Oreochromis niloticus: one gene and its partner. The protein of the gene in region 2 purifies or fractionates together with the protein of the main gene of each other region. This does not show direct contact. Links are inferred from orthologs where the notes say so. Each region holds a gene or a part of one and is shown on either strand. Other genes may lie near its edges. The genes, in order: uqcc2 and uqcc1.

What was found.
Region 1: the proteins of uqcc1 (region 2) and uqcc2 purify together in Homo sapiens (co-immunoprecipitation; 3 studies listed by BioGRID and IntAct, counting the BioPlex papers as one, with this or other methods). This does not show direct contact. The link is inferred for Oreochromis niloticus from reciprocal best matches to the Homo sapiens genes UQCC1 and UQCC2.

Annotation. Positions count from the first base shown.
Region 1 is NC_031970.2:19,765,681-19,776,918, reverse strand, and holds uqcc2 (ubiquinol-cytochrome-c reductase complex assembly factor 2), read right to left. Parts: upstream 5,144-11,238; 5' UTR 5,113-5,143; coding exon 4,975-5,112; intron 3,492-4,974; coding exon 3,417-3,491; intron 2,818-3,416; coding exon 2,751-2,817; intron 2,644-2,750; coding exon 2,534-2,643; 3' UTR 2,478-2,533; downstream 1-2,477. Other genes in the region: tspo (translocator protein), read left to right, coding at 327-499, 610-748, 851-1,024; tomm6 (mitochondrial import receptor subunit TOM6 homolog), read left to right, coding at 5,276-5,373, 6,383-6,479; lg5h1orf74 (UPF0739 protein C1orf74 homolog), read left to right, coding at 6,948-7,742; sirt4 (NAD-dependent protein lipoamidase sirtuin-4, mitochondrial), read right to left, coding at 9,453-9,605, 9,697-9,991, 10,513-11,000.
Region 2 is NC_031970.2:3,099,792-3,111,231, reverse strand, and holds the start of uqcc1 (ubiquinol-cytochrome c reductase complex assembly factor 1), read right to left. Parts: upstream 5,085-11,440; 5' UTR 4,939-5,084; coding exon 4,858-4,938; intron 2,754-4,857; coding exon 2,649-2,753; intron 1,774-2,648; coding exon 1,666-1,773; intron 244-1,665; coding exon 171-243; intron 1-170. UniProt on the Homo sapiens protein: Required for the assembly of the ubiquinol-cytochrome c reductase complex (mitochondrial respiratory chain complex III or cytochrome b-c1 complex). Involved in cytochrome b translation and/or stability.

The DNA of each region.
Region 1 (11,238 bases), about 17 Mb from region 2:
ACTGTAACAGGGCTGGCCATTTGGTCTGCACAAATCGAATCTGATGCCATGCTTCAGTTAGTTATTAAATTTAATTTTTAACAGAGAAATTGACATATGCCTAATGCCTACCTTGAAATTTAAAAAACTGTTAAAAAAAAAAAAGTCTAAAACTAAAATGATCAAGGATGTGCGCATAACAAAATCCTCACTTTTTCTGTTACTGCAAATCCTGTTTAGTCAGTCATGGGACAGCAGATGCATTAGGCAGAAAAATTTGATACTTATACCTATGAATATCCACCCTTAGCGGAAGTTAAATGGCTGTCTTTTTCTTATCTCAGAAAATGTGGCTGCAAATAGCTGGGTTCACTGCCCTGCCACACCTGGGAGGGCTCTACGGTGTTTATATCACACGCAAAGAGGTAAATACCTGGTACCCAACCCTGAAGAAACCATCGTGGCGCCCACCAAACAAAGCATTCCCCGTAGTGTGGACGTGTCTGTACACAGGCATGGGGTAAGCACATTGTGACTGATTTCTGCATTATCTGTGAAGCAACCTCCTTATCTTAATGATCTCGTGTGATTTTTTTTTTGTTGTTGTTTTTTTTTGTCTTTCTCTTCCAGCTATGGTTCATACCTGGTGTGGAAGGAGCTTGGAGGTTTCACTGAGGATGCACTAGTTCCACTCGGGCTTTATGGGACACAGCTAGCTCTGAATTGGGCCTGGACTCCCATTTTCTTTGGTGCACACAAGCTGAAATGGGTAAATTTAAATTTGGACACCAATAATTAGGGGTGTGGTAAGTGTGGCAGTGTAGTTGTATACATCGCTGTCACTGACATGCCCTCTGTCTGTTCTTTTTAGTCCCTCATTGAGATTGTGCTTCTCACTGGGACTGTTGGAGCCACCATGATGTCCTGGTATCCCATCAGCCGCACCGCCACGATGCTCTTGGCGCCCTATCTGGGCTGGCTGTGCCTTGCAACTAGCCTCAACTACTGCATATGGAGAGACAACCCAGAGGAAAAAGAAGAGTAGGGATCATGACTGTGTGTTTTGAAGAGCATACTTATATTCTGAATCACGTACACAATGTTATTAAAAAAAAAAAAAAAATACTAATAAAAAAAACAGGTCAGTCTCACTTTTTAACTTCTGACTTTATTATCCAGCTGCTTTGTTATGACCTTGTTGGCTGGTCACAGACTTACTAATACTTGCGTATATGTTGCCCAAAATAAAAAGAAGAAAAATAAATAAAGATGTCATTTCTAAATAGTGGTATCCCCTTTAACATCTGCAGTACTTTAGATCTGAGCAGGCATTATGTTATCTGCTTAGATACTGTATAACAGCCTGCTTCTAATAAATTTATTTTGTTCCTTAAAAAAAAATCCCTTAAGAATTTCAGTGCATTGTCAGAAATGTCATTACTAATAGGAAAAACTGTAATATGATCAGAATATCTGATTACATTGAAAATAGTTAAGTCACCCCATCATGTGGAGTTTTGGTTGTTCAGTTTAAAACAAAGTTTTTACCTTTTTTTCTTAAAGAAGCGATGTTCAAAGTGTGAATTTATAATAAAACTGTGTAAACTAGTCCACGAAACATTTTTGCTTTGCAAGTAAATAATTTGAGTTAACGGTCAGGTGCATTTCTCAATCAGACACAAGCTTAACTGATTAAATCCTGCCTGGTGAGCCAACTCACAGCCGTGATGTAGACCAAATGTTTTTCAGCATTGTTTTTATAGACTTGTTTAAATGTAAGATTTCTTATCATATGTAAAAATTCAAGTCTGAACTAATAGAAAAACTCCAGGAAATTGAAGTTTGGTGTTACAGTCTTAACAGATTAGTGTTATTTTACAAACTGATGACTGTGGGTTATTTCCACCACACAGCCAGTGAAGGCTTATAAAAATATTTAGTTTGATTCAACAATATCCAACCAGCGAATATTCACAAAACTTGCAGCAGCTGACCTACAGCAGCAGAAGACCACACTGCTTGCTACTTCTGTCAGCTAAGAACAGCAAACTGAGGCTACAGTTCACATGTTCACTAAAATTGAACAAGACTGGAAAAATGTTGCCTTGTCTGATAGGCCTCAATTTCTGCTGCAACATTCAGATGATGGTCAGAATTTGGTGTGAATGGCATGAAAGCATGTCTCCATGCTGCCTTGTATCAACAGTTCAGGCTGGTCTCAGGAGGATGATGTATCGCATAACAAACTCAAATCATCTCAAACTGGCTTCTTATGGAAGTGAGTTCACTGAACTCAAATGGCCTCCACAGTCACCAGATCTCAGTCTAATATGGCATCTTTGGGATGTGGAGGAACAGGACACTCATCATAGATGTGCAGCCAACAAATTTGTGTGATGCTGTCATGTCAATATGGACCAAAATATATCCAAAAATATTTGTAAAGCTACAATTTAAATAAATATAATATATATTTTTTTTAAAAAAAGAGTCCAAAATGATAACAATAAGATTTATTTCTATACATATAGGAAAAGAAGATTGGAAGAAAAAGTTATTTTTCAGCAGGTTTCTCTGGGACGTCTTCTGGTGATTTAGAAGAGAATCTCTGCATTAACGACTTCCACAGACCCTTTTTTTCCTCGTCCGTATTTTGCATAGTTCCTGTAAAATGTAAAAGTTGGGTCTAAGTTACAGCAAGTTCCTGGGGCCTCATAACAACATTATGTTTAGTAAATAACCGAGAATTGACAGCACATGCGAGTCCATACCTGACAAAAGTAATCTACACTCTTCCACTGTGACTCCAGTGAAGCTCGTGTCTCTCACACGAGGAAACTGAAGAGAGAAAGAAAATAAAATTCTTATTGCCTTCGACAAGTTTTCACACAGGAATTTCTTTCAAAATGAAAAAAGTCAAATATTATATAAAAGTTCATTATGTACTCAAATAATTTGGTGTGCACAGTATTTGAAGGAGTCAGCTTCCCATTTTCTGCATTTCACATGCACAAGGAAAATTTCCCCTTAAAACAATGTGCCAAATTAATAGTCTTCCTAGAAAAATCTTTTTTTTAGTAAGTAAAACTTCCCTATTTATAGTAACTCAGAGAAGGAAGACAGACTATCTGCTGATCTCTGGATCTTACGTGAACACTTGCTGTCTTTATAGTTCAAATTTAAAGGTTAACTATTTTTAACCATTAACCTCGTGTGCTTGTTTAGACCTTTGTACTTAATGTAAACACACTTTATCATCTCCACACAGAAAAAAAAAAAAAGTAACTACACCTTTACAATCTTAAAGAATGGAGAAGTCATTCGCTAGGTGACAGATGTCTGGTTAACGACAGCAGAGGAAGGCACTGTGTTTTTCGTATGATATAATAAATATAATAAAGTTGAAATGCACCTCACATATGTGCATGAGTACTTACCCGCTGTCTGTATATGTTGCCATTAATCTGTGCCAGACTTTCATACATCTGATCACATTTCTCAGGATCTGAGATCTAGTGGGGAAACATTGAAGTGGTTAAGATGTGATTTTACTCACTCAACATGTTTTAAATGGAAAAAAAATATTCTCATTATTTTAATTATCAACTTTAAAGTCCAAACAGGTCATTTTGGTTTCCGTAAAAAAGGCATGAGGATGTGCGATGCACTGCCATGCTATATACGCTTGTGCTCTACTATGCCATCATAAAAATAAATAATCACTGTGCCACCATCTCTCTGGTGTCTGTGGGTTACATTTTTTAAATCTAATTCTTATTGGTCAGATCACACACAGTACAGAATCAAAAGGCAAAATAATGCTTGTACTGTGTTTAAGAGATGGGAGGTGAAATTCAACTAGAGCCAGGGTAAAACTTCAGTGTAATGCCAATTTGTACCACAAGATGGTGCTGCGAGTCAGTGTAAACTTTATTTATAAACTAGAGTTTTTTTGTTGGCACCTAAGATTCTGCTGGCATCAAACACCTATGATTATCAAAAACCATCTTTTTCCATTCCTTTTCGTTACTACTTATCCTGTTCAGAGTTGGTAGTGGGCTGGAGCCTATTCCAACTGTTATTTGGCAAAATATCTTATATTTTTTACATGTTATGGTTTACAATGCTCAAATGGTTGGCTTCTCAGAAATTTCATGTTTTAGAAACAGATTAAAGGCTGTTTAGTTGGTTGCAAACACTGATAGTTATTTTTATTTTCAAGATTTATTTAAAAAAAAAAGATGCATCCAAACTGGGTCATTCCATCTCAAATCATCGTGGACCTTCTGTTCGACCATCTCTCATTTACCAAAAAACTTTTTATGGTTTTAAATTTGGCCATTTATAATGACTGCTGTGAAATTTTAGCTTTATACATCAAACACCTTTCAAGATATATTTGTGAAAGGTGGTCCATTGACGCCGTTCCAGCAGGTTTATATATCCATTGAATATCTCAGATTTGTTTAAATACTTTACGATCTAAAGTTTAGACACATAATGATTGCTGTGAAATTTTACCTTATTATTTCAGATACTTTTTTTGTATACCAAGTGAGGCATTTAAGTTGAATGAAAACATTTTCTTCAGTTTTGTGACTAAGAAATGTAATGTTAGTAACTATTCTACTAATTTGGTTTTTCATTATTGTAAGATGCAACTGTAAACTATTCAGGAACTGGCACTGGTTGATATATGAAGCTAAAATTTCAAAGCAATCATTACAAATGTCCAAATTTTAAATCAGAGGCGGTTGAGTAGAAAATTTTCTAAACACCAGATGATTTCAAATTGACCCAGCTGCGAAACCAGCGGTGGAGTGATGGACATTAGTGGCTCAAACATGTCAATACTGGTCGCTTGTAGTTCGCAGAAATCTGCTTTGGATTAGGTTGTCAGCTGCTTGCTCTTCTAACTAAGCTGTCCTCTTAGCTTCCCTCGGTTATTTACAGCAGAGAGGAGTCCGTGTGTTGCTACCAGCTAAAATTCATTACCTGAGTATTTTCACCCTCTCGGAAGGCAGAGGCGACTCTCTGCCGCAGAAATGTCCCCAAGTCGCGGCCTTTCTTGGTCTCGTCTCTGGGCCATTCCTCACACAGCTTCAGAAACCGACGGTACCTGGTCGCAGACATCTTTGGTCATGTAACAGCACGTCCTGAGTGGAGCGAGGAGGACGTACGTTTTGGTTTGAGCTTTATCGCACACCGTAGTTGTGTAACATCTAAAACCTTCCCCCTTGACTCTTCGCCCTCGTTGCCGTTGTCTTTTCCTACCCCCAGGACGCACGTTAGCAACATGAGTGGGGCAAACGCTAAAAAGGGCTCTTCCCCCGGTGTGATGGAGTGGATCAGCTCGGCCTGTCGATTCGCAACAGATAGAAACGACTTCAGAAGGTGAGACTGAGCAGACAGCAGTGATAGTAAGAGGGTTTTTGGGGCGGTTAGCCGTGTTGCTAGCGTTAGCACTGGTGTGCCAATGGAGGAGTCTGTCCTTGTCCTCTCACTCACTAGGCTACACTATAACTAAAGAAACAGGCAATACAATTACAATTATGATCATCAGTTTAATCGAGTTGTATGATAATATTACCAGCGTAATAGTTATTTTTAGTTTGTTGATCAATGAACAGAAGATATGGACTAATCTAATCGATTAACCACTTTGTCAAACTTTAGGGAGAGTATAGTTTCTACTCTAAGGGCATCAGGAAGCTTAATGTATACAGTATGACAGGTAGCTAATTAGTCAATGTTTAGTGGCCAATTTGTTCAGGCAATTGGATCCCAGCAGCACATTATAACCTATGTAGGATTACCTGGACACCGGATTTGAGGAAGATCCTACTATTGTTTGCATATTAACATGCGATGGGTTTTTGTTTTTCTTTAATGTGTGGTTCTTCTGTCAGAGCTAGAAAATTCTCAACATCTGTGTACCAAATATGCCAAAATATTGGCTCCCCTAGGATTAAGGTGAATGCCACGTACCTGATATACTAGGTGTGATGGGAAGCCTATAAGATATATTTATATATTCATATATGTTTAAAAAAATGCCCTCCCTCTATAGCTGTGGGGTAGACCCAAGACATGCTGGAAAGGTTATATCGCTCAGCTGACCTGGGAAAGCCTTGGCATTTTACCTGGAGCAGGTGGTCTGAGGGAAGTCTGAGCTTCTCTGCTTAGGTTGCTGCCTCCAGGACCTAGCCTAGCCTAGCTCTGGATAAACAGAAGAATATAAATTAATAGATGGATGAGGTTATAGATACCTGTGGTCTTATAAATTTATGTTTACTCAGTTTCCCCTCACAGCAAAACCTGTAGCCACAGGTTGAACAGGGTGTTGTTGCTGTTGATGTCATTACTGATTGTTTAAACCTTTTTTCTTTTTCATTTTTTTAAGGAATCTTCTGGTGAATTTGGGCTTGTTTGCAGCTGGTGTTTGGGTTGCAAGAAATCTCTCCGATTTCGACCTGATGTCTCCTCAGCCAGTGACATAGCGTGACCCAAATACATCACAGCCAGGATGATGGTGAGGTTATCTTCTTTATTAGAGCTGGAGAGAGGTGTGATCTGTGTGCACACCTCTAATGAACAAAAGCAGAATGCATTTATCACCGAATAACTGCTGTTTTTCTACAGATTATTCTGACTGACATGTTTCTTCTCCTTTAGGCATCCTGGACCAACAAAGAAGAAACAGTGGACACAAATAAACTCATGAAACAGTTTTTATGACTAGTTTTAGTTTGAAAACTTTTGTCTGGTTTACTTGTGTTACATCCATTGACCTTTTGTTTGACCATTTGTTAGTTGTTGTTTTTTTTTTTAACCTTTCTTGTAAGTGTAGATTACAACTGTGCAGTTTACTTTTTGTCTTTGATTCCAGCTAAACAGCTACTTAAAATTGAAATATCTCTAGTCCTGCTTGACTCCTCAGTCTTGTGTGACGTGATTTTTATGCAGTCATGTCTGCTTCAGAGCTCTTTGTTGCTGCTGCTCGTAAGTATCTGTCTGCTGGTAGAAAGTCCCTCTCCGCTCCTCAGAGTCTGGACCTGGCTGCTCAGGTGTCAGCTGTAGATTTGGGATTGAAGCCTGCTGTTCTGTACGATATTAACGGTGCCTGCGCAGAACAAGTGGAGCACTATCTGAGCTCTTTGCAGTCTCTCCAGCTTGTGTCTAAATCGCTGCTCACGCTGGATTTAAATGGAAATGGTCTCATTGTTAATCCGGTCACAGTCAAGTCAAATCTAGAGCAGGTTCTTCATGAGGGGAGCAGCGTGGCCGTGATTGATGTCTGCCACTCACAGGAGTCGCCCACCCTCGCTGATCCGCTGAGGGGAGACCTGAAGTGCATGATACAAGATTTACTACTTCTACTGGGAGGGGTGCAGCAGCTTGACGAGGTTGAGAGGCTTCTCAGTGGCGGAGAGAAATGTGAGGAGTGGAACCTGTGTACTGTGTTTGGGCTGTTACTGGGTTACCCCGTCACTTACTGGTTTGATCACACGAAGAGTTTCGACAACTGTCTGTCCATGACTCCCCTCACGGTGGTTACGGCTTCAGCAACATGGCAGCCAGATACTGCAGCTCACAGATGTTGTCTGTATTCCTTCAGCGTCCCAGCTGCTCTGCAAGAGGAGATAAAGTCTGACCTGGAGACCTGGAAACTCCGTCTGCAGCAGAGATTTGAGCAGCAAAACCTCCTGAAAGATCTCACGATTAATCAATCTGTAGTCACACTGCCCTCGGTTTGTTTGTGAACATGATGTAATTTTGTCTTTAAAGCAAAATGCTCTGGGTTATGTTTGATTATTTATGACTGTAATAAACACTGTCAAAACAGCTGTTGGGTTATTGACGTGGGCGGCAGGTTCCAGGAGAGGGAGACCACCTGATCAGAGTTAACTATATTGTTATTGACCTCACTCATGAAAATACCGACTATAATGCAACATGACCTGACAATACATAACTCAGGTTAAGACTAGTGTGAGAAAAAGGTGTTTTGTTAGAGCGGGATGTCAAACTACATACAGCCCACTCTGATCTTCAGCGGGCCGCAACAGTGAAACTCCACTTTCTGTCAGTGTAAAGTTTAACTACACGTTTAATCTCTGAGACATGTTAATATCAGAAAAAGCAGTGCGATTTCTACAGCATATCTCAGTTTTTCCACGGATACAGAAATGCTGCTGTAGTTAATGGAAAAATCTGTCAGCACGTCTCTTCAGGCTTAAGTTGGGAGATAAATGTTACAGAAAAAGATCTGGTAGCCTCATGCTCAGACTACTTTGTAATTAGAAAAGAGAAAGTCTCTGTTAATTCAGATTTTTTTCTTACTATGCACACATTGTAAAAGACAGACATTTCTGTATTATACAGGAAATGTTCTGTAATTTCATTGTTATCTACTGCTTAATTACTTTGGTGTAGTATGAATAGCAATGAGGGAGCTCTTTATCAGCATGAAAACTTATGAAAATACATTCAGTCCAAAATTTTACATTCTTCGTGTTTTCAAAAGTCATGCAGGACCAGATTGGAATCTTTGTTATCTGATTCTGGCCCCTGGGCCTTATGTTTGATACACCAAGGTTTGAGACTTCTTTAATGATGAATATTTCCATCTTGCAAGTGTGATAATAAATTAAAAAAAAACAACTCTTATTTTCTGAATATTTTATTACAGAAAGTTTTCACCACATAACCTTAAAAAGACAGCATAATGCCACTTTAAAATCCAGCCTGAAAAAATATTAATTCAACCTACTTTAAACTGAAATTCACAAAAACTGATTAAAATGAATATGGCAGCATTTAAAATCAATCAAAATACTAACCATCTGAGTATTGCATAATTAAAAAAAGGAAGAAGAACAAATTGCACCTTTTAAAACAGATCTGGTGGCAGAACATGAAAATAAACATTTATATTGCATCTTCCCATCGACATAAGAGCAGCCACCATGTGTGTTTTTGTCTTATCAGAATAAGAGCGTTTGATTCCAAAGGTGTCGTCAGTACCTAGTGATGGTGCTTTGTGTGTTTGATAAGACTTGAAAAGACATTCTACATGAATGCAGTCCATTTATAAAGTGAAAAGAGCTTGAGGAAGAAAACGGGGTACCTCTGTTTTTCTTCAAGCCTGCAAATTTTCATTTCACTTCACACATCTGACCTGCATGCCATTATTATTTCAACCTAAAACCAACAATCACACAACAAAGCACAGTCTTTCTGTTTTCCTGGTAGGTTGACATTTGATTGCAGAGACAGGATTTCAGCTCCCTGACACCAACCTGCTGTATGAAGATCAGCTGGATTCAAGTCTGACACATTTATAGCTCACAATTATTAACATTCAGTCACCTGCATACAGCGTGTAACAACAGAGAGCAACTGTTTCCATAAATCTGAGGTAGTTTTAACCTAACCAGCAGAGCACTTCAAGCTTTTTAGGCTGCGGTCAGTCAGAGCGGCTGAATGACTGACAGCACTTCCCCGCAGCGGCCGCTGACTTTCAGCTCAGCCAGGTGGTCTGCTCGGGTGGGCCCTATGTTCAGGATGGCGACCGGCATCTCCCTGTCCCTCGCTGCCAGTAAAAACCTGTATCCTGAGTACACCTGAGAAACATCAATGAGGAACAACGTATTCAGTCAAGAAACAGTGTGCTGAACGCTAACAAACTGGTTTACTAGTTTATCCAAGGCCCACCTGTAAAGATGACCCCACAACGAGCACCGCATCCGACTCTGCCAGCCTTTCGTGCACAAACTGCACAGTTGCTTTGTTCACGGAGTCTCCAAAAAACGTGACCTCAGGCTTCAGTATCCCGCCGCAGTCATCACAGGAGGGAACTCTGAAATGGAGGACCTGCTCATCCTCCAAGAAGACGTCTCCGTCTGGGGCCACGGCGCCAGCCTGAGCTCGCCACTCTGGGTTTAAAGATATAAATCGCCTCTGGAGCTCCTCCCGTGCTGAGATGGCACCACAGCCAAGGCACGTGACCCTGAGGATGCCCATATTTCATACTCAAAAAATGTCTTCTAGTCAGTTAACATGCAAACAGACAGCATTTCCTAATAACTCCTGGTGATGCAGGGTGTGTGTTTTAATTACTGTCACCAAACCAATGTCTGGAGTCCCAAAGCCTTAGAAACGGCTTTGTAATCCTTTACAGACTGATGGATGTCAGTGATTCTCAGCTGTTCTTGAGTTTCTTTGGATCGTGGCATGATATATTGAGTCGATTTGTGACACTGAAGTCAGTTTTTCAGGAAGGGGGTAAATGCTTTTCACAGAACTGCAGAATATAGTGGTGATTGTACATGAAAACATCACTAAAGTAATCCAACATTTTGCCAATGACACCTGGAAACTTTTACCTACATGGCATTCTCAGTGCATGGCTTTTGCTCACAAATAAGTAGTGTTTATACAGTACATTGTATTGTATTGTTGTAACACTGCCATTACTTCTTATTTGACGCTTATTGTCTATGATGCATATGTGAGTTTATGCGTTCTCACCTGTGGGCACAGCCGTGGAGCTCTGTGAGTCTCTTCTGACCCGCCTTTGAGTGAAGAGCATCTACATTCTGCGTAACCAGCCAGTGCAGCTTGCCCCTGTCCTCCCACCGCTGCAGGGCCTTGTGTGCAGAGTTCGGCTGGTGGGAGGAAAACTGCGGCCATCCGACGAAGTTTCTGGCCCAGTAGCGCTGACGGGACTTTGCGCTGCGGACAAACTCTGCGTACTGCATGGGTCGTCTGTCAGTGCGGGCGTACAGCCCGACGCCCTCTGAACGGTAATCGGGGATGCCCGACTCCGTGGACAGACCCGCTCCGGTGATGACAAACAGGCGTCTGGCTCGGGTCACAAAGTCCTGCAGCAGCTCCAGTGAGTGGGCGTCGGTGGTGCTGCAGGCGGGGACAAAGTTCATCAGCCCTGCAGGGACTGAGGAGGCTCTCCTTACAGGTGCTGTGTGTGGAGCCAGGACCCGCCATGGCAGCCTCATCATCTGCAAGCAGACGTTAAACAAACACACTTTTTGACACCATGTTTTTTTTGTTTGCTTTTCCCCACGTCAAATAAAAGAAAATTACCTGCTTACTATCTTATAATGCACTTATTATACTTTTATTATACAGTTTTTAAGTTTTACCGAATATGTCAAATAAAAACACGAAACAGAGTAAGAAGATTTAACAACACTTTCTTTTGACACACGTTTAAACAGTTAGCTTGACACGTTAGCT
Region 2 (11,440 bases):
AACTGCAGTATGCAAACACGACAAAGCTCTGCTACCACCTACGCCAGAGTCATGTGACAGAGTGTGAAGAGAGTTTACGGATGAGAAACAACAAAGAACTGACAGGTGCTCAAGAGCCGAGTTGCATTGTGGGAGATGCAGCATTTTGAAGCCGAGCGCCGTAAACTCACTTTCGAAGAACTCGTCGTAGTTGATTCTCTCCACGCAGCATGTGTACATCCGCAGAGCAGCAATCTTGATTTTCTGTGGAAACAAAAACATCACGTCTGACGTTGTTACTCTGTAACTACAACCACAATATCGCACAGGGGAGTCGGGCGTTCGTGAGGGGAAGTATTTCAATCAGCTGATTCTCGTGATGTCACTGACATTCAGAAATGGAGGAGGGGCTTAGTGATGGCGTTTGAGGGCAGCTGAACATGGTGTAAATGAAGGAAAACACCAACGAAGCTCTGCTGCCTTGTGGCAAACATTCATAGGAAAGGCCTCGGCAGGCGACCCTCCTGCGATGGCGCCGAAACACAACACAACAGGAGGTGTAACACAACTGGCTTCCTGTTGAAGCTTTCAGGGGACCACGCTGCCCTCCATATCAGCCTTTACACAGCAGTGGCCACAGTGCAGACAGTCATCAACCTGCTGGCTGTTGGGGTGAAGCGACTGTATTGTGTGGGAGTAATTTCGCTTCCTGTCCAGTGTGAATGCGCCACTACACTTCCATTACCAACATTTGTCAATGGAAACAGGGGGGCTAAAAATGACATCAAATAGGCAAACTTATCCAAATGAGTTTGTCTGGTTCAGCAACTTTCAGCTGGAAAAGCGACTCGCCAACAGGTTTCATTAAACAACAGCGAGCACGCATTTCTGTGGGATTATTCTGGGATTTAAGGCTGATCTGTGCGTCTCCGACGGCGGTTTCATCTGTAGAGTAAACACGCGCAGGAGCAGGACACGAGTTCGGAGGTGTGCCAGCATGCGAGCCAAACGCTGCCCCGGCGTGCGGCCCAGCTCTTTGCTCGCCCGACATTCCTCAGCACACACGCAACCTTTCCACCTTCCGCCAAAACCTCCCACATCACCGAAGCCTGCCACCGCGCCAACTGTTTATTCCTTTAATGACCTGTGCATTCCTGGAAACCATACCGACTACAAGAGTGTGATGCAATGAATGAAAGCCACACGCACATGCACGTGCACACACACACACCTCTGGTGAATATCACTCCCACTGCAGTGACGTTATTAGTATTTTTGGCCTTCTGCATGCAACATCTTCCATAACAAATGTTTTATTACTCTGTTGTGTCCAAGTTCAGTTTGGTTTTATTCAACCACAGAGAGCAGGAGGTGAAACGCTGCGCTGGCCGTACAGGTAGAAACGTCTGACCCGACACGTTTGTTTCTGTTACTGGTTGACCAATCAGGGTGGCACACATTCATCAGAAGGTGCGTTTAAAGGAGGTTAGCATGATGCTTTTGACTGAAAGGTTGTTCGAGTGCAGAACAGACACGTCAGCAGGTAACAGGTGGCCTTGGAGGCACATTAAATTTAACATGACACTAAGTGCTCACGTTGATTTCACGCATCAAATGAAGCAATGTCACCTTGGCCGAAAACCCCTCATGCTCGTTTTCAGCCCACATCTCACCCTCTGCACTCACCCATTTATTGTATTTGAGCGGTCCCGTGAAGCCCATCGCCTCGATGAGCTTTGTGAAGGCGCCGACCTCCTCCTCCGTGTGCTGACGCGTCTCCTTCACGTTACGGAGCTGAAGGACAAAAAGAAAAAGTGGAGCGGTGAAAAAACAGCAGCGAAAACAGAAAATGCTCCTTTAGCAGGTGGGATATCAAACGTGTGCTGCGTGACCCTCGTTAAATCAACAGCACGTGACGACGCACCTGTGCGGCGCAACCTTTACCGCTCACTAAATTAATACGCTGACCTACTCCGAGCTGCACGCCGTCTTTGACAGTTTTATTACAGCCACCACGAAGCCGCTAACCTTCATCAGGACGTGCAGATGTGCTGAAGTTTTCTCCCAGTTTTGAAGCTTCATTGAAGCCTCGAATACACGGAGCAGGCAGGAAGTGCTTTAAAGGCACGGATACGACACGACTGAACTCAGAATTCCTTAAAATAATCCTGAAATCCAAGCAGGTGTGTAAAACTACAGGCTGAATAATCAAACCTTTAAGGAGAGAAATTACAGTTTATTTGTTTTTATTTAAGCAGAAAATGTGAACAGACACATGTTGTTTAGCTAGTGGACACTTTTACAGAGATAATAAAAGGTGTAAAGGGATAAAAATCATTTAGCAGATGCAGGGACGCATCGATGATAGCAGGGGCAAACTGTACCCACTGCACTCAGGAGGAGGCAAAATACCCCCGAGATGATGGAGCTGGAATTGACCGAGTGAAGACAAAAGTGTTATTTATCGGCAAAGAGTATATATTAATTCTTATTTTAAGAATCAGAAAAGCTAATAAAACAGAGAGCGCCCCTTCTTTTGTGCTTTCTGTTGGGCATATCGGTGGCCCAGCCGCTGGGACAAAAGAGCTGCTGCACAGGTGTTTTTAAGCAGTCCATCTGTGGGTTAAACAATGAGAGCTATTTGTTCATGTGCTTGCGTGCGGTGTTACCTGTGTGGCGACATGCAGCGTCCGGCACGGCGTTACTAACGGAGAGGAGACGCCTGCCTGCTGACAGGCGGCCAGCGCTCTGAAACAGGCTTCCTGATCCAACGCCTGCAAGGAGAGAGAAGTTAAGTCAGCTGAACACAAACAATCGACCGTTTTATTTGTCGACTTGTTTTTAAAGACGGATCAAACACCTGCTCGTCTCCCACTAACAGCAGTGATCTTCACATCACAGCTCAGTGTTGTTCTCACCAGCTATAGCCAGTTTTCATCACCCTTTAGCATTTTTTGTTTGGACTGCACAGAAACATCCTTCGTTAACCCTCTGACAGCTGGACAGGCTTTTCCTGAGTGAACATTTTACACCTTAATAAAAACTGATTAAGTCTCTGCACCACCCAACTTCACTGAGTAAAAAGACCTGCAACAATAATCTGATTAATTGATCTGATTAAGTTCATTCAGATTTGTAAAAACATGATGTAATTTAAAACCTTTCAAAATAAACTAAAGCTCAAAGAGAACGAAGAGACCACTGCTATGAGCTGAAAGCATAAACTCCTACATACTGTGTCAAAGAGATACTGAGGGAACGAAAAACAAATATCAAACCTCAACAGCACAGCAGTCAACATCTGCAAGCAACAACACAACCGCTGGCAAAGCTTTAGTTCAATTCTCAAAAACATTTAGTACCTAAAGAACCTTTAGGTCTTTATCTGGTTGTTGCTTTAAATGGTGGTTTTTGAAACAGATGCTGTACTGCACATGTGCAAAGAGCTCATTCAGGGTGCAGCTTAAAGCCTCTGTCACAGACTGTATCAGCCAGGCCTGTGGCAGAAGACAAACACCTCGAGCTTTCAAAGCGGTGCCAAAATAAAACTTCACCACACTCAGAAAGAAATGCATACAAGACTGAGAAAGTGGGGCCACCTCCTCTGGGTCCCGAGTGCATTTAAGATGATCAGACATGAGGGGGTCACCTTTCCTGTGAGCTGAATAATCAATAACCAAAAAGCAACCCTACACTTCCCACAGCTCAAAAACCAGCACCTGTGACGGACTGATGGTCTGCTTATCTGTGAAGGCACCATTTATGCCAAATAGTATTTCAGACTTCACAATAATATTTACTGCGCTCCAGTCTTTTTCCAGGTAAAGCACTGCTTACTTCAGCGAGACGATGCCCAAACATCCTGCATGTATTAAAAGAGCCCGCGTGCTGAAGACACCCTGGACCCTCAGACTCTGATATTAATGTCCAAACTTGTGCTTCAAGTTTAAATGTTGCTGCTCTTGCTAGTCAGCACTAAAAGTAGTAGTCAGTTATCCTCACTTTATTATAGTGCAGCGGCACCTTGGTGCGCAGGCCTGACACACAACAGCACCTCTCCGAAATGTAACCTAGTCCACTGTGCTCAGTTTATTGTTTTCTCACATTTGGATCAGCTGACTAGATGACGAGTCCCTGAACTGAACTTCTGGACCATGTTTGTGCCCTTTTAATGCAGTTATCTGATTAATAATATGGCTGCTGTGCCACATTATTTGTCATATTTTACTCTGCTCCAGTTTTTGTCAGTAAACCATTGGACGGTCTATACTGGTCTATTTGTTGCACCCACATGGTTTGTGGATACAGCCTATCACTCAACCCTCGTTCACTTCTACCTCCTAAAAACATCATCATCATAATCATCATCATCAACATGCCAACACAATAACACAGAGGCTATAACATACAGACAACACAAACAGCTGACACGTCCATCATTTACATACAGTCTATGGTTCGGTGACCCATTAAAATATCTGGACCAAAACGAAGCTCGAACACGTGACTGATGACGCTGGTCCTTTACAGAGTAATTTCATTATCTCGGGTGCCAAACACTTTATTATTCATATATGACAGAAGCCTCGGTTTGAACGTGTGATGTAGTGTTTCTGTGCTCGGTGTAAAGAAAGCCGCACTTTCGAGCTGTTACTGCGAGTCTTTGGTCGAGTTCGCCTCCATTAATCTGAGCTCTGACATTAATCCTGCTAATGGAGCTCGCAGGCCGTCCGTGTGAAAGTCAAACACACACGGAGACAAATGAGCGCTCACTCCGTCACCTGTCGCTGTGTGTTCACCCGGCTGTCACCTCGAACATCAGCCTCAACTTCTTCACCTGTTAGCCGGCTAAGCTAACGCCAGCGAGGCGTTTCTTACCTTGCCCCCGGCGGAGGCGGCCCTGCAGGCGGACACATGAGCGACGCTTCTGGCGGCGAACTGCAGCGGCCGCCGGTACATGACTGCACGAAGACCCGCTGTTAGAGCCGAGAAGCGGGCTGCAGATTCACGGAACCTCCCTGCACTGAAACCTTCTGGTTTGGTAACAGCAGCAATGTCAACGGAATCTGTCCGGCACTGAATAGTGTCCGGGTAGAAATATACAAAGTGAAGAAAAGGTCCGCTTTTAACCCGCTCCGATTAAAGTTGAATCTTTCATTGCTGGAAAAAGAACTTGGAGCCTTCACTGAAGTTAAGCAGGAACACTGCACTGCAAAAATACCATTCAAGTGAAAGTATACTTAAAGCGCTAAGCTCAAGCATATCAGGGTAAGATAAGATAAGATAAGATAAGGTGTCCTAACCCCAAAACGCCTTTTTTTCTTACAGCGGTTAAAAATTCAATAAAACACAAAGTGCTGAATAAGAAATAGACATTGGATAACAACAAAAATCACAATTTAGCAAAAAAGCATCTTAATAAGGTAACAAAATACAATCAAATACATATAAACACACACACAAACACACACACACACACACACACACATATATCTATCTACATATATATATATATATGTATATATATATATATATATATACATATATATATATATATATATTACAAAGTCACAAAAAGTAAGGCCAGATGGCCCCGCCCTGCCTGGTTCTGCTGGAAGTTTCTTCCTGTTAAAAGGGAGTTTTTCCTTCCCACTGTCACCAAATGCTCATAAACAAACATTTTTATTGTAATTCCACAAAGAGCAAAGTAACTGTACACCGGAGGATAACAAGCTTTGTAAGAATTAAATCTACTGATAACGACAAATATGACCTTGACCTTGAGTGCATTTCCAGCGAAGACCTATTATCATTGTGTGTAAGCTTTGACCAATCCTCCAGGAGGTCTGTGGAGGGATGGACAAACAAATGTCTCACCATAGCACGAGCTTATAAGCCCTTTGGCTGGGCTAAAATAAATTGGACTCATAATTTTAAATGTTTGCTTTCCATCCCACAGAAAATAGGATTTTCATGACTGGGTTAGAGCTCTCCTTCCAGGAATACTGCAGTGATGCAACATTTCCCACCAAAGTCACATTCAAGGATGAAACAGCAGGCTGACATAAACCATTATTATTCTTTAAATCTGTAAAAAGTCTTTGACAAGGAAACCGATTACCTCTCGGTCAAACTTGCTTTGTAGTTAGAGCCAATAAACAGTGAAAACATCAGTGGGACACATTAAGACTTTAAAAACAGTCTCATGTTCTCTGTGGACACAACAGCTGAGGTAATGTTTGAGTTGCCCCTCCATCACTTTCAGTTTTTCCCGTGTCTCAGCTGGAAGTGTTTGTGTGTGCGGGGGTTTCTGTCGTGTTGCAGTTAGAAGGTCACAATCATTAACGGTAACCTTCAGCAGAGAGTTGCACTGTCGACACCTCAGCCTGAACGTGAGAGAGGACAAATATTGTTCAAGGCCAGAAAATGAAGTGTTCCTTCAGAAGAAAGACAAACAGGAGTCCAGAAAAGACAAAGAGAAACAGAAGGAAAAGGGTGTGAAGAGGGAAAAGTGGAAGGTCGAGTGGATTTTCACGGAGGAAATGAAATCAGCGGCGTCAGATCGATGCTGAACACCAACTCTTACAAAAATACTGCAGCGCTGAGTTATGAGACACAAACGAGCCGGAGAGGCCAGGTCTGGTTTCTGCTTCCTCTGCAGTCAGTCTGAAGTTTTCCTCCCTGCGCTGACCTCACCTGACAACACGCGCGCACACACACACACACACACACACACACACACACACACACACACACACACACACACACACACACACACACACACACACACACACACACACACACTCGATCTAAATCTTCCAATTTCCCTCCAAGGAACTTACTCCAAATCCAACAGACTGCCGGTCAGACCCCAATTCCAAAAAAGTTGTTTAAAATGTAAATAAAGTAGAATCCAGTGATTTACAAATCTCACTCTATAAACAATAGCACATAGAAAAGATGAGAAAATGTTCAATTTCTATAAAAATATGAGCTCATTTTGAACTTCATAGCAACTGCTTGTCTCTAAAACCATGTTTCCCACTGTGCAGCATCCCCTCTTCTTTTAACTACAGTCTGTGAACATCTGGACTTCCAGGAGAAGAATATTGTCCCATTCTGGTCCGATGGAGGAGTCTAGCTGCTCAGCAGTCCTGGCTCTTCTTTGTCCTGCCTTTGGTTCCATGATGCTCCAGATGTTCTCAGCTGGTGAAAGGTCTGGACTGCAGGCACTCTTCTGCTGTGAAGCTGAGCTGCCGGATGCCGTCTGTGGTTTAGCATCATCCGGCTAAAATATGAAAGCCTTCTCTGAAAAAGGTGTGATCAGGTTCAGACTTATGCTGTTTTAAATCCTCTGTGTACCTTTCAGCATTGATGGGACCCCTCCCTCCTGAACTGGATAAGTGAGAGATAAGCGATGTCTTAATGAACTGACGGGAAATTTTTATAAACTGGAAACAAATGAATAAAAAGCGTAATTGTTTATTAACCTGAGGGAAGACATGCAGATTATTAACTGTAGGGAAAAGGTTAAAAAAACCTTCGGGAGTGTATTAACAATCTGGCCTGATTTAGCTGCAAACACAGGCTTATTAATGGGTGTTTTAAGCCCTAATGTTTTCTGGTTTCACAAATAAAAATAGAAGATTATCTAATGTTATAATGAACTGTAGTTTCAGGTTTAGTTAGGGTGGCGTTAGGCTTAGGTCAGAGACTGAAGGTTTAAATGCTTCAGATGCTTAGACTTTAGGAAATGCCAGCACACACGCTGGTTTACACGAGAACTAAATGAGCATCCGCTCTTTAAAATGATACGGTCCAACCCTGCGATGCCTGTAGAGACGCAGCAGGTATCCTGTGGATGAGATAATATATTCCACTTGTGCATTCACTTTTTGGAGGTGGGCACAGTCCAAACACGCTTTTTTGTTTTTTGTGTGATTGTCTGTGTCTGCGCTTGTGCGTTTTTGTATTAATAAAGAGTGATAAATGACAGGCGGAGAGGAAGTGCTGGATTCCTGCTCGGCTCCTGTTTCTGTGAGAAACCTCGCTAAAGAAAGCAGACATAAATAATGGCTGCCACGCCGCCATCCTGCCTGCGATACACTGCGTCTGTGTTCTTGTATTACTCATGTTGTGGGGACAGAAGTCTGTTTACACAGTCACGTTAAAGGGAACGACTTCCTTTGGAGGACCTGAAGCATACTGCTGTCACGTTCACTGAAGAACCGAATAAGCTTAGTTTAAGTTTAAGATTTAGATTAGGTTTAGGAACATAACTCTTGAGCTTTAGCACAATATTCCAGTTTTAGGAGACAGACCCTCTCTTTTTTGAAAGACTTTTCCATTTTGATAATTTTATACTTAGTCCTGGATCAGGTGATCTGGACTCAACCTTTGGTTATGTTGTTATTAGCCAGCGAAACTGTTACAAAGAGACACGGTGCTCAGAGAGTCCTGAAGTCAAATCGGTGGGTGAGCTCTGTAAGACCAAAGATGGTCGTTTACTTCCAGATGATAAGAGAATGGATGGCCTCCTCTGGGTTGCTGCCCAAAGTGACCGAGTTCAGGTATGTTGTATGATGTTTTCAGGCGATGGGAAAGTGGCGCTTGAGATGTATCAGGCCATCATGGTGGAGAAGGATTTTAGCTGGATGGTGATGCTTTTGTTTTACTATCAAATCTAAATCTACGCCAGTCCCCACCTGTGGTCATGAGCTCATGGTAGTAACTGAAAGAATGAGGTTGTGGATGCAAACAGCCAAAATGAATTCCTTCGTAGGGTCGCTGGGTTCAGCCTTGGAGGATAACACGCCAGACATCTGGAAGGAGCTTGGAGTGGAGTTGCTTCTCCTTCATGTCGAGACGAGCCAGCCATCTGATTAAAATGCTGCCTGGCACTTTGCCTTGGAGGTGCTCTGTCCCAAATGAGAGAAAAGAGATTATGTGTCTTGTCTAATAGCAGTACCTTCTGAATCACCAGGAGCCAGGTTAGAAGGGAAATAGATGACTGGAATACCCTGGATGGATGGATGGATGGATGGATGGATGGATGAAAAGCTTTATAAAAGCCAGAGTTTGGATAAAGTTAGAAAACATTTCAAGTACTTTTGTTTGATCAGATTTGATTGTACACATACATTCATGTGGCCAGAAGCAGTTCAGGATGGTTGCAGAGTGGTGAACCTTGTTTCTGGAAGGACTTTGTATTTTGTACTCAGGCTGCTGGAGGACTGAAAACTTCTTCACTCCTCTCTTTTCAGGCTCCATGTATTTGCACATATTTTCTCCTCTCAGAAAATGGCTGGCTCTCCCTGAGCCTGGTTATGCTGGAGGTCTCTTCTTTTGTTTCTCTCACTGGTTTCCAATGTGTCGGACTAATAAAGGCTTATCTTATCTTATCTTATCTTATCTTATCTTCCAAGTGCTTCCTCACAGGGTCACAGGTCATCGTCTGACTGTTGAGGTTCTCTCTCTATAATCATTGGGTTTTTATTTAGCAATATGAAACATTTTAACATGGTCTAAAACTATGGGCTCAAAATGTGGTCATAAATATTTTGTACTTGTAAATCAGTTTTGTATGTGTAAAAAGAATTTGTGCGTGCGTAAAAAAGATTTGTATGTGCAGGGGGGTTTTTAGCTAAGTCCACACACAAATCTTTTTTACACATACAAATCTTTTTTACGCACGCACAAATTCTTTTTACACATACAAATCTTTTTTACGCACGCACAAATTCTTTTTACAAATACAAATCTTTTTTACACACACACAAATCTTTTTTACACATACAAATCTTTTTTACGCACGCACAAATTCTTTTTACAAATACAAATCTTTTTTACGCACGCACAAATTCTTTTTACACATACAAATCCTGATTTACAAGTACAAAACTGATTTACAAGTACAAAATATTTATGACCACATTTTGAGCCCATATAAAACACACACACACACACACACACACACACACACACACACACACACACACACACACACACTTCAGATATTCATATCTGGTGGGGACATCTAATTGACATAATGGTTTCCCTAGTCCCTAACTCTAACCCTTACTCTAAGCCTAACCGTAACCCAACTGTAACCCTGACACTAAAATCACATTTTAAGTCACAAAAATGCCTTCAAACGTGTTGGGACCAGGATCTTGGTCCCCACAAGTATATGAATACACACACACACACACACACACACACACACACACACACACACACACACACACACACACACACACACACACACACACACAGGTCCTGCCTCTCCTCAGACACACACACACACACACACACACACACACAGGTCCTGCCTCTCCTCAGAGGCACGTAGTAAAGTGTGTGTTCATGCTGTGTGTTTCTGTTCCATCAGCTGCTCTCACTGCAGGACAAGGAGTCATGAACGTCTCACCGGAGTGCGAGCACCTTGTTCCCACATGGCCTCGGTCTGAAAGAGTCAGGCCCATTAAGAACCTTTTTAGCACTAAAATACAGGAGCCATTAAATTGACCTGCAACAGATGATTGCAGCTCTAGATTAGATTCAGAGGCAATTAACTTCTTAATGAAAACGGCTGAATTAAGCACACGCTGCTGTACAGTAATGGGATCTGGAAAAGAATGAAAGTACACTCAGAAAAAGTTTATAAATGCAGTCAGATGGGGGTCCTCCTGGGGGGTCTGTGCACTGAACCTTTAAGCTTCTCTCACTGCTTTGACCAACTTGGTGATTTTCTTCCTTTCTCCACCAATCTGAGAGGGATACACACTGAGACACGGTGCACTGATTATAGCTGAAACTAACCTCAGGTACCGAAACCCTGGTAAGGTAAAACTAAGCTCAACTGGTGAGGCAGCTGTTTATGTGTTAACTTTGATTTAATCTCCTGGTTATGGTTTGGTTTTGTAAAGTGGACAAACAGCCACACTGCTTAGCATGTGCGGGGAGAAAAAGCATGAAAAGTGAAGAGTTTGCTTTAATTGGTTTGTTGTCTTCCGTTTGGCTCTTAACTGCAGAAAGTAGCAAAAACTCAGAAGATTAAACGCTTGAACGACTTTTGGGATCCCAAAGTACGGAAAAAAAGTATAAAATACGAACCCGAACCCTGATTTCAATCTGCTTACATCATCTACTCGTGCACCTCTGAGCTGTGTTTGGTGTGGCTGCTGTTTTCAGATCTCACAGTCAGCTGTTATCTGTGCCTCTGCGCTGGCTGCTGGATCTCCTCCAGCATGTCTAAACGTCTGGCATGAGATGGCACTCTAACATGCACCACAGCTCAGGCCTGAGTGCACTCCTTCTGATGCCTCAGGATGTCACGGTGGGACTCTGAGGACTTCACAACCTGATGAATGTTGGAAATAACGGCCAGTATCCTCCCAGTATCACTCCTTACCTGACCAGCTGTCTGCAGAATGAGGACTCTTCAAATCAACACATTTCC